Linked DNA regions of Oryctolagus cuniculus. The protein of the gene in region 1 purifies or fractionates together with the protein of each later gene. This does not show direct contact. Links are inferred from orthologs where the notes say so. Each region holds a gene or a part of one and is shown in the gene's direction. Other genes may lie near its edges. The genes, in order: USP25, BTBD9 and KLHL9.

Region 1 (3,651 bases):
CTGTATTTGGGTGCATGTACATTTATTATAATTACATTTTCCTGTTGAATTGATCCCTTAATCATTACATACTGCCCTTCTCTGTCTCTTCTAACAGTTTTTGTGTTGAAGTCTATTTTGTCTGATATTAAGATGGCTATACTATCTCCTTTTTTGCTCTCAGTTAGTATGTACTATCTTTTTCCATCCTTTCACTTTTAGTCTGCGTGTTTTTTCCATATTTGTATAATCTTTATGCAAAAATCAGATATATTCAACACTTTAAATCTCTTAATTTTGTAGATAAAATCAGGAACACTAATGCTGCCAATACTGATTATGTAAGCTCTTTATTCAGCAAGTGCAGAAATATGTTCCTTCTATTGGTTCATTATACAATACAATAAAATTAATGTGTTTAGAGGTAATGAGGAAAAGTGTTAGTTTGACTTTTCATGACCTCTTTCTCACAAGCATAGCATTCCAATAAAATTACAGAGATGTAAATACAGTTTTTCTGTTGAGTGACAAAGTTTTTTTTAATAAAATTTCTTGTGTTTCTTTAATTTTAAATGTATACTGCTATAATCACAATATTAATGTTGTAGAGCTGTTAAATGTACCATTTATATTTTTAAAAATTAGTGGTTGCTTGGTTTTCTCATCTAGTCCACAACAGCTTTAGAATAAGAAAATGAAATCCTTCTAGTCTTGTGTATGAAAATCTTAGCATTGCAGGTGGAGTAAACACATTCATAACAAACTTATTACATAACATTTTATGATTGTGCTGTCTTAAAGTAGATCACTATTTGAGTCATTTCATTTCCCATGACCATTTTAGAATCCAATGAATGAAAATACCTATTTAATTTTAGTGATGACATTTTTAAGTGTTGTAATAAAATAGAAAGGTAAGAATTTTTGGAGTATACTTGAGTTGAATATTGTGAAATGAAGATCAGTATTTTTCTAAGCCATCAAAACTTTTTCTTTTTACTTGAACACATGGCATCAAAGAAAGACCTGCACTACCATGTTTAGAGCAGCACTGTTCACAATGGCCAAAATCTGGAATCAACCAAGGTGTCCATCATCAGATGAATGGTTAAATAAATAGCAAATAGGTATAAAAAGAATGAAATTTTTGCAGCAAAATGGACACTACTAGAAGACATCATGTTGAGTGAAATAAGCCAGACTCAGAAAGGCAACTACCGCATGTTTACCCTTGTATGTGGGAGTGAAAATTTGAAAAACAAACAAAAAAGAAATGTTGCAGTATTGCTGCAACTATAGTTTTGTAAAACTTTGTTTTAATATCTTTGTCAAACCAATGGTTAAGTTTTATGATCTGTTTTTACTTCAAAATTTACTGTATATGTGTGAAAAAAACTTTTCTTTTTGCCATATAGGGTATTATTTTAATTCTTAATATGAATTTAAAAAGAATAGATGACACACACACCTATTATTTTTTTTTATTTGTCTTATCTATTTGAAAGGCAGAGAGCCAAAGAGAAAGAAATACAGGTTATCTCCAGTCTGCTGGGTCACTCTCCAAATACCTATAACATCCTGGGCTGGGCCAGGCTAAAGTCAGGAGTTAGGAACTCACTCCATCTTTCCTTACCGGAACCATCACCTGCTGCCTCCTGGGGGTCTGCATTGGTAGGATGCTGGGGTCAGGCGTCAAAGCTGGGACACAGTGCTTACATATTAATCACTAGGCTAAGCACCTGCCCCAGCAGTTGACATCTGTCCAAATTATGTGCCCAGTGTTTGGATTGTCAGCTTGTGATGATGCAAGTAAAAATGTATCCTGAGGGGCAAGTGTTGGATGCAGCAGTTAAAGTTACTGTTTTGGATGCCTACGCCCATATTGGAATGCGGCTTCTTGCTTACATGCACTTTGGTGGGCAACAGGTGATAGTTCAAATACTCACGGTGTCCCTGCTACCTATATGGGAAACTGAGAGGGAATTTTGGCAACTGGCTTCAGGAAGAACTGGTGAATAGGTGCTCTCTTTCCCTCTCTATATCTCTAAAATCTGCCTTTCAAATAAAATGAAAATAAAGAAATGAAAGTTTTTAAATATTGTCAGGTCAGCATCCTCTGCATAAAACTGAAATGGAGGAAACAGAAAGGTGGTATTAAGACTATTTTCTTATTCTATTTTCTTTTAGCATTGGTTTACTGAACTACCACCTGTGTTAACATTTGAATTGTCAAGATTTGAATTTAACCAGGCCTTGGGAAGACCAGAAAAAATTCACAACAAATTAGAGTTTCCCCAAGTTTTATATCTGGACAGGTATGGTTTGATACACTATATGACTTGGTTTTGAAATTAGTAGGCAAGTGAAGAATTTTTATAGTTAGAGGATAATTCTGCTTAATTTTGCTTTTTTATTATTAATCTTTACTAAGTATTAAACTAATACTATTTGTCAAAGAGATAGTTTATTTTTGTGTTAGAAAAATATAATTACTGGCATAATATTATATGGAAATAAAATATTTTTGTAATCCGAAAATTCTGATTGAATTTTAAAATAAACGCTCTTTTGGGGCTGGTGTTGTGGCAGAGTGTGTAAAGCTGTCGGCCATATGGCACTGGTTCAACTCGTGGCTGCTCCACTTCCAGTCTAGCTGCCTGCTAGTGGCCTGGGAAAGGCAGTGGAGGTTGGCCCAGGTGCCTAGGAGAAGCTTCTGGCTCCTGGCTCTGGCCTGGGTCAGTGCAACCGAGGCTGCTATGGCCAACTGGGGAGTGAACTAGCGCTTGGAAGATCTCTTTCTCTCTGGCTTTCCCTCTCATAATTCTACCTTTAAGATAAATAAATAAATCTTATAAAAATGCTAGTTTATATTATCTGATATCTTACAAAATTTCAACTGGATTAGTCTTTTTTAGTGGTAGCTAGTTTTAATATTGTCCCTAATTATAAGGTCCTTGGAAATGTTAATATTTATTGTTTTTCTCCTAATAGATACATGCACAGAAACAGAGAAATAACAAGAATTAAGAGAGACGAGATCAAGAGACTTAAAGATTATCTTACAGTATTACAGCAAAGATTAGAAAGGTATTTTAACTTTTATGAAATTATGAGATAACTATGGGAAGTCATGGGATTGGTGACTGTTTAGGTTTTTAATTTTAAATTTACCTTGAATGACTTACAAGTCTAGAAATAGATCTTGTCTTTTTAAAAGATTTTGGCTAAATAGTTTATTTCTGAGTTTTTTATCTGAGAACTATGATAATTATAATAATCTATAATTAGATTTAGAAGACTTAGTATTTAAAATCACATATATCATTGTCAACAGGTAATATATGGTGTTGAAAATAGAAATAAAATTAAATGAATCTAGTATGGGACTTTTCTTTTAGCATATGACTAAATGTTACTTTTGAGGTTTCCACTAAAATGAATGGTAGCTGAATTTTTCTCCTTTTGCAGAGAATACAAATTCAGATACCTCTCTGCTTCACAAAAGCTTACTAAAAGGAGGGAATTGGCATAGGTATAGAGTGATTGGTACAGGGTTGTCAAGAGAGCACATTTGTGTGTAGAGGGAGTGACATACAGCATTTATACATAGCTATGGTCTCACTGTTGTCTGTAGCTTCTGGTTACTTCTAAAAGAATTCAGAATCTAAACTA
Region 2 (3,751 bases), on another chromosome or scaffold:
CCATTCCCACGTCCTGTTCACGAAGTTTCCCTTGCCTGGAACTAAGTCCTTCCCAGCTTCGCCCCCACTCCCGCACCCCGGTGCCCCAGCTTGCCCAAGGCCCTAGGGGGACGGACTTGCCAACATCACCCAGAGTCGCATTTGCACCCAGATTCACTAACGCCATTGTTCCAATGTGTTCCTCATTGCTCTCGCCCCACGGCCTTCTTGTAAGAGAAAGACACTGTCAAGTCTGGTGGGCGTTACGCTTTACAAAGCGTCTTTTCCCATATTAATCTGCTTTAGCTTCGCAACTTTCCAGTGTAGACTGGACGAGCATGGCTCGGTTCGTCACGCCCCCAGCAGCCCTCGACAACCGCGCACCCAGACCCATCCTGCACCCGGCAGAAGCTGCCCATCCGGCCCGCGCCAGTCTGGACGAGGCCACCGCTCTCGCCACCACAGGCGCCCGGACCTTGCCATCCGCAGTGACGTGCCCGGTGACGCCATACAGTGACGTGGGCTGACGCGACTCTCCCGCAGCCAGGTGCGGGAAGGGCAGCCACGCCCTGGGCCCTTGCTCGGGAGGGCCAGCAGGTCGGGCCGCTGAGGGGGGAAAGCGGCGGAACCCGCCCAAGTTCTCCCCGGGGCCCTAAACCCTGGGACTCGCCGGCCCGCGGTCGATCGGTTGCTAAGTGACGCCAGCGCGCAGAGGCGCGTGCGCGGCCACGGCGCTGTGCGTGAGAGCGGGCGCGCGCCGCGGCGGCGGCGGCGGCGGCGAGGACGGCGGCGACGGCAGCGGCCGAGGGGGCGGTGGCTACGAGGCGCGCGTGCAGCAGGCGGAAGAGGCGTCTGTGCGGGCGGCTAGGTCGCTGAGGAACATCGTTGGGGTGAGTAGCCGGGGCCTCGTAGGGGAGGTGGGGCCTGGCCGCACCTGCTGCGCGGGCCCGGGGGCGCGCGCCCCCACCGTACCCGCGCGCGCCGCTCCACGCCCCTCCGCCGCTTTTTTCCGGGGGGCGGGGAAGGGCTGGGGACGGGGGCTGACGAGGGTCAGTTTCTGGGCCCCGGCGCTCGGGGAGGCGGGAGTCCTGGAAAGGGAGGTGGGAAGGAGGTAACTGGGGGTGGGGGGCTCCCAAACAGAAGACTGAAGGGAAGCCCGAGTTCTCTCAGCCGCCCCGCAGTCTGTGTCGGACGCGGCAGCCTGAGACCGGGAGGAGGCGGAACCGGGGACCCCGGGGCTGGGGTTCGGAAAGTTTGGGACCGCCGGGCCCTCGTCGCCCCCGCCGCGGCCGGGCTCAGAGTCGGAGCCGGTTGTCATGGAGAGAGTTGTGAATCAGTGCCTGCGTGCGGCCTCAGACACACCCATGGCGACCCGGGGAAGGCCCCCCGCGAGTGTAGCCGGCGGGCGGCTGACCTGTTGCGGGCGGTGTCCGGCCTCACATGTACGTGCGCGGGCTTCCTCGGCACCTGTCACGTTGGAGGCCGAAGGGCTGCCCGCCCCCCTCTCTGCTTACTTTGTGTTGTTACATCTTCCAGAACCGTGTTGGGATTTTGTCATTGACAGGGCCAGGGAAGTGTGGAAGCCCTGTTTTTTGCTTGTTGCTTGCCCAGGACGTGGAGACAAGAGGGAGTTCAGCGTGTGGGCTGCGCGGTGTTGGACGGGGGAGTTAGTCCCGAGTGTAGACGTGCAGCGGCTCCCTTCTCGGGAGGACGCGTGGTGGTCCTGGTTCCTGCCGTCTTGGAGGGAGAGGCGTGTCGGAGGCCGGCAGGAAGCCAGCCTCTTAGGAGTTCCTTCTTCCTGGGGCAATGCTTAGAACCGGTGGGGGGAGAGAGAGACCACGCTGGAACGTAATCAGAAGTTTTGCCAGGAAATTAAGGAGGACAACTTCTAAGTTTTCATCCAGCTGTAATATCCTGTGATTCAGTCCAACAACTGAGGGTTGCCTGAGGTTCTTCCGTCCTGGGACCGGTAGCAGCCCTGTTTCTGTAACACTTAGAGCGCTCACAAGGCAAAGTCTCCCTCTCAGGACTGTACGAGGTATAGGACAGGAATCGCCTGTGTTTTCTTCCTCCCGGTTTGTGTGTCTCCAGCACCTGGAAAAGTGCTTGCTGCAGAGTGGGTATGCAACAGATACCTGAGGGATACTGTGTTGCATCATTTATGCATAGTGGTTGCTCTCTGCACGGATCGCATTTCTGTTCCGCTCATTACCTGCGAGTACTTACAGAAGTGGCCCCTTTTACTCCCACTGTTAGGCTAGATGTGGCAAGAAGATTTGGGGGTGACGAACGACTGAAGGCCTGACTTCTTCCTTCAAGAGCACACGGTCTACCTGGGAGAAGGAAGCATCTTTATGTTTATGAAAGAATTGTGAAAGCAAATGAGGTAGTAGGCAAACTAGTGCTATGTGAGGGCTGCCCGAGTACTTTGCAGTCCTGTAGAAATTTAGAAAAGATGGGATATTCGGGCTGTTAGGGAGCTCTTTGGAAGAGGTAATATTTGAACTAGTCTTTGAAAGAAGTGCAAATTTTGAATTAGAAAAGAGGTAAGAAATCACCTACTGAGAATTTGGTCGACAGAGGATATACTGAGGAGTCTACAGGTCTGGTGACTGGAGCAGGTCTCTCAAAGGGAAATATTAAAGAAATAAGGTTTGGCAGTCTGGGAAGGAAAAACATTAAAGACTAAGGCGGGCTTATAGGTGTCCCACGGATAACAAGGCATCTGTTTGCAGGGTGGCATGGAGTTCTGTTAATTGTAATAAAGAGTAAATTTTATCCTTACTTAAAAGATACTATGGTTCAAACAGAATCAGGTTGTTACATAATTTCGATTTCAGTTACTAATTGGGATGAGTGCCTCACTAAGGGTGGTAGTCAGCAATGTGTGTCTCAGTTTCTAAAATCGACCTGATGTGCTCGGGCCGTTCTATTGGAAATTTACTGAAATGTATAGAAAGTAGTCATCTAGCCATGCTCAGTGACACAGTTTTGCCTGGGATTATTTTTTATAGTAGACTATGAGGTTTGTAGTTATTCCTGGTCCTGTAAAAAAAAAATGCAAGTAATATTACTTGGTAAAGGAGTCTGCCTGAAGAAGGAAATTAAAAAATGTTACCAGGGTTGGGTGTTGTGGTGCAGCAGGTTAAGCTGCAGCTTGCAATGGTGGCATGCCATATTGGAGTGCCAGTTGAGTCCTGCCTGGCTCACCCACTTCCAATCCAGCTTCCTGCTAATGCTCCTGGAAAGGCAGTAAACGATGGTCCAAGTACATGTGTCCCTGCTACTTTCATGGTAACTGAGTGGAGTTCCTGGCTCCTGGCTTTGGCCAGGATTTGGGTAGTGAAGCAGCAGTAGGATGGAAGATCTCTCTCTTTGTCCCTCCCTCTCTCTCTGTGTCACTGCCTTTCACATAAATAAATAAATCTTTAAAAAGCTGACAAAAAGAATTGAATAAAGATACTGCTGCTGAATGTTGAACTTTTTTAAAAAATATTTATTTGAGAGGTAGAGTTACAGACAGAGAGAGGGAGAGACAGAGAGAAAGTCTTCCATCCACTGGTTCACTCCTCAAATGGCCACAGTGGCTGGAGCGGAGCTGATCTGAAGCCACGGAGCCAGAAGTTTCTTCCAGGTCTCCCACATGGTGCAGGGGCCCAAGCATCTTCCACTGCTCTCCCAGGCCATAGCAGAGAGCTGGGTTGCAAGAAGAGCAGCCGGAACAAGAACCAGTGCCCATATGGGATGCTGGCGCCTCAGGCAGAGGCATAAC
Region 3 (3,751 bases), on another chromosome or scaffold:
GTTACTTTGCCAGGCGGCCTCTCAATTTATACAAAAATCGTTCTTATTTCATTGTTAGAAGCGGCCAGCGAGCCTACACCTTAAAGAAGAATCCAGACTCATCTACACCAAATGCGCGTGTAACTTACGGGTACTCCTTCCGGCCTACCCAGCCTCACGCACACGGAGACTCCCCCGCGCCCCGCTACCACCCACCTGCGACCGCTCGGCTTCTCCAACCCCCGCACGCCCCGCCCATCCCGCTCTTCCTCCCCCTCCCGGACACGTCGGCAAGCCCGCCCACCAATCAGGGCAGACGGCTGCGCAGGCGCAGTAGTTCCCACGGACGCTCCTAGCCCGGGGGATCCTGGGACTAGGCCTTTCCGGAAGGATCGGCTCGGCGTCAGTGGCTAATTCTGTGTTCCCGGCCCAGGCCCAAGGCCAGGCGGTGTTCCAGGCCCTTGCTGCAAAACTGGCCGGTGGCCGCGGCGACGGTCGAGTGACAGCGGAAGGCGCAGGCGGCCGCCCGCGGAGGAGCCCGGTCGCGCCGCAGAGTGAGCGGCGGAGCCTCAGTACGTGGCGGCACCTCCCCCTCGGCTGCGAGCGGAACTGCTGAAGGAGCGGCAGCGCAGGCCAGACGAGGTGAACCGGGTCATTTAACTGCCTTAAGGTGATGAATCGCCAGCCTAATAATTAGATTTGAGGTCCACCGCCGTTTGTGGCCCTGCCGCTGGAGAGTTTCCAGTGGACGACTGACTGGTGTGTCCTGAGGGGCGCCACGGTGACTGCTCGTCCTTGCTAGGGGAAGTGAGCTCTGTGGACATCTCTGTTTCCTGAAAAACATTCGGGTTATAATTGCTTTCTTCGGCATACATCTGTACAAGAGGGAGGCTTTCACATGAAAGTGTCTCTCGGTAACGGCGAAATGGGCGTCTCTGCCCATCTGCAACCTTGCAAGACGGGAACCACACGGTTTTTTACCAGCAATACTCACAGTTCGGTGGTACTGCAAGGCTTTGATCAGCTTAGAATAGAAGGTTTGCTTTGTGATGTGACCCTGGTACCGGGCGATGGAGATGAAATCTTCCCTGTTCACAGAGCGATGATGGCTTCTGCTAGTGATTATTTCAAGGCTATGTTCACAGGTGGAATGAAAGAGCAAGATTTAATGTGCATTAAGCTTCATGGGGTGAACAAGGTTGGTCTGAAGAAAATCATTGATTTTATTTATACTGCAAAACTTTCTCTTAACATGGACAATCTTCAGGACACTCTTGAAGCTGCTAGCTTCTTACAAATCTTACCCGTTTTGGATTTCTGTAAAGTATTTCTTATATCAGGAGTCTCTTTGGATAACTGCGTTGAGGTTGGACGAATTGCTAACACCTACAATCTAATAGAAGTGGATAAATATGTTAATAATTTCATCTTGAAGAACTTCCCTGCTTTACTGAGTACTGGAGAGTTTCTAAAACTCCCTTTTGAACGGCTTGCCTTTGTGCTTTCCAGTAATAGTCTAAAGCACTGTACTGAACTTGAACTATTCAAGGCTGCCTGTCGATGGCTAAGGTTGGAAGATCCTCGGATGGATTATGCTGCAAAATTAATGAAGAATATTCGATTTCCACTGATGACACCACAGGACCTCATCAATTATGTGCAGACCGTGGATTTCATGAGAACAGACAATACCTGTGTGAACTTGCTTTTGGAAGCTAGCAACTACCAAATGATGCCATATATGCAGCCAGTGATGCAGTCTGACAGAACTGCCATTCGGTCTGACTCTACGCACTTGGTTACCTTAGGGGGAGTGTTGAGGCAACAGCTGGTTGTCAGTAAAGAATTAAGGATGTATGATGAAAGAGCACAAGAGTGGAGATCTTTAGCCCCCATGGATGCTCCTCGTTACCAGCATGGCATTGCTGTCATTGGAAACTTCCTTTATGTGGTTGGTGGTCAAAGTAATTATGATACAAAAGGAAAAACTGCTGTCGATACAGTTTTTAGATTTGATCCTCGATATAATAAATGGATGCAAGTTGCATCATTAAATGAAAAGCGCACTTTCTTCCACTTGAGTGCTCTCAAAGGACATTTGTATGCAGTTGGAGGGCGCAGTGCAGCTGGTGAACTGGCCACAGTAGAATGTTACAACCCACGAATGAATGAGTGGAGCTATGTTGCAAAAATGAGTGAACCCCATTATGGCCATGCTGGAACAGTGTATGGAGGCTTAATGTATATTTCAGGAGGAATTACCCATGACACTTTCCAAAATGAGCTCATGTGTTTTGACCCGGATACAGACAAATGGACACAGAAGGCCCCAATGACTACAGTCAGAGGATTGCATTGCATGTGTACAGTTGGAGATAAGCTCTATGTCATCGGTGGCAATCACTTCAGAGGAACAAGTGATTATGATGATGTTCTAAGCTGTGAATACTATTCACCAACGCTTGACCAGTGGACACCAATTGCTGCCATGTTAAGAGGTCAAAGTGATGTTGGAGTTGCTGTCTTTGAAAATAAAATCTACGTTGTTGGTGGATATTCTTGGAATAATCGTTGTATGGTAGAAATTGTCCAGAAATATGATCCAGAAAAAGATGAGTGGCATAAAGTTTTTGACCTTCCAGAGTCACTCGGTGGCATCCGAGCTTGTACCCTCACGGTTTTTCCCCCTGAAGAAAACCCTGGATCACCTTCTAGAGAGTCGCCACTCTCAGCACCTTCAGATCATTCTTAGATCTAAGGTGTTATATCTTGGCAGTTCTTCATGGATGATCTCCTATTTCCCCTTCAGTTGTATCTTCTTCACAATGGTTGGTAGTTGTGAGATAAAAAGGTAACATTATTTGTCTTGTTTGGCTTTGTTTATCAGGTGGCTAACAAATGCATTCTGAAAGTGTATTCAACATAGCTGTTTTAACAAATGAAAGGAGATATGCAGAACAATGTTTAAATTAGATGTCTCTTTGTGGTGTTATTAAGTCAAATTGTAGGTGACTGTAGTAAATGTAATTGTGTGCATTATCCTTCAAAATTTTCATCTTTGAAAAACATCAAGGGGAGGTCTGCTGTAACCTAAAATAATAAATGAAAAGTCACCAATTATTAGCTACCTCCCTCTTTTCAGAGTTTTTCACACATGTCAACTCATTTGGTTTTGTGGTTGCATATGGAGTATGTGAAGTTTCTTAGGTCTTAGGCAGATAGGAGAAATAACAAAAATATTAACCAGAGAAACCAGTTTAGCCCTAAGTCAGCATTTGGTTTCTCTCCCTGGAGACAGTGGAAGGGTGAAAGAAAATATATGCATAATAAGACAAATAGGTACACACATATATAATTTTAAAATTAATTGGACTGTTTTAACCATAGTGACATTGTTCTTAAATTTGAATTGTTTCCATTAATCAGCTATTTAAGTGGGAATTCAGTATCAGAGAATAAATATCTGTATAGTCATACTGAATTTAGATAAGGGCTACAACATTCTAAATTGACAACTGTATTTGTCATTTGACTATAAATTGTTACTTCAGATGAAACTTACATTTTTCTGCTTGTATATTTTCTTTAGAGTTGCTCTTATACATGTTATTTAGCAAAGTTCAGAATTCATAGAATTTGCTTTTTCCCAATAAATTTAGGCTCTGCTATTTTCTACCTTTTCAGTAAGGCTTAGGATATTAAAAAAAATGTAGTCTGAACAAAGCTCTAGGGTTTTAAGTTTAGTCTCCCAGTATAGTCATCCTACCATGAT

What was found.
Region 2: the proteins of USP25 (region 1) and BTBD9 purify together in Homo sapiens (affinity purification with mass spectrometry; 3 studies listed by BioGRID and IntAct, counting the BioPlex papers as one, with this or other methods). This does not show direct contact. The link is inferred for Oryctolagus cuniculus from reciprocal best matches to the Homo sapiens genes USP25 and BTBD9.
Region 3: the proteins of USP25 (region 1) and KLHL9 purify together in Homo sapiens (affinity purification with mass spectrometry; 3 studies listed by BioGRID and IntAct, with this or other methods). This does not show direct contact. The link is inferred for Oryctolagus cuniculus from reciprocal best matches to the Homo sapiens genes USP25 and KLHL9.

The regions. Positions count from the first base shown.
Region 1 is NC_091435.1:31,201,873-31,205,523, reverse strand, and holds part of USP25 (ubiquitin carboxyl-terminal hydrolase 25), read left to right. Parts: intron 1-2,166; coding exon 2,167-2,294; intron 2,295-2,970; coding exon 2,971-3,066; intron 3,067-3,651. UniProt on the Homo sapiens protein: Deubiquitinating enzyme that hydrolyzes ubiquitin moieties conjugated to substrates and thus, functions in various biological processes including inflammation and immune response.
Region 2 is NC_091436.1:131,095,046-131,098,796, forward strand, and holds the start of BTBD9 (BTB/POZ domain-containing protein 9), read left to right. Parts: upstream 1-1,204; 5' UTR 1,205-1,240; coding exon of another isoform or gene 1,241-1,295; coding exon 1,296-1,421; intron 1,422-3,751. Other genes in the region: translation initiation factor IF-2, read right to left, coding at 282-1,142, 1,241-1,297.
Region 3 is NC_091432.1:184,421,670-184,425,420, forward strand, and holds the start of KLHL9 (kelch-like protein 9), read left to right. Parts: upstream 1-877; coding exon 878-2,731; 3' UTR 2,732-3,751.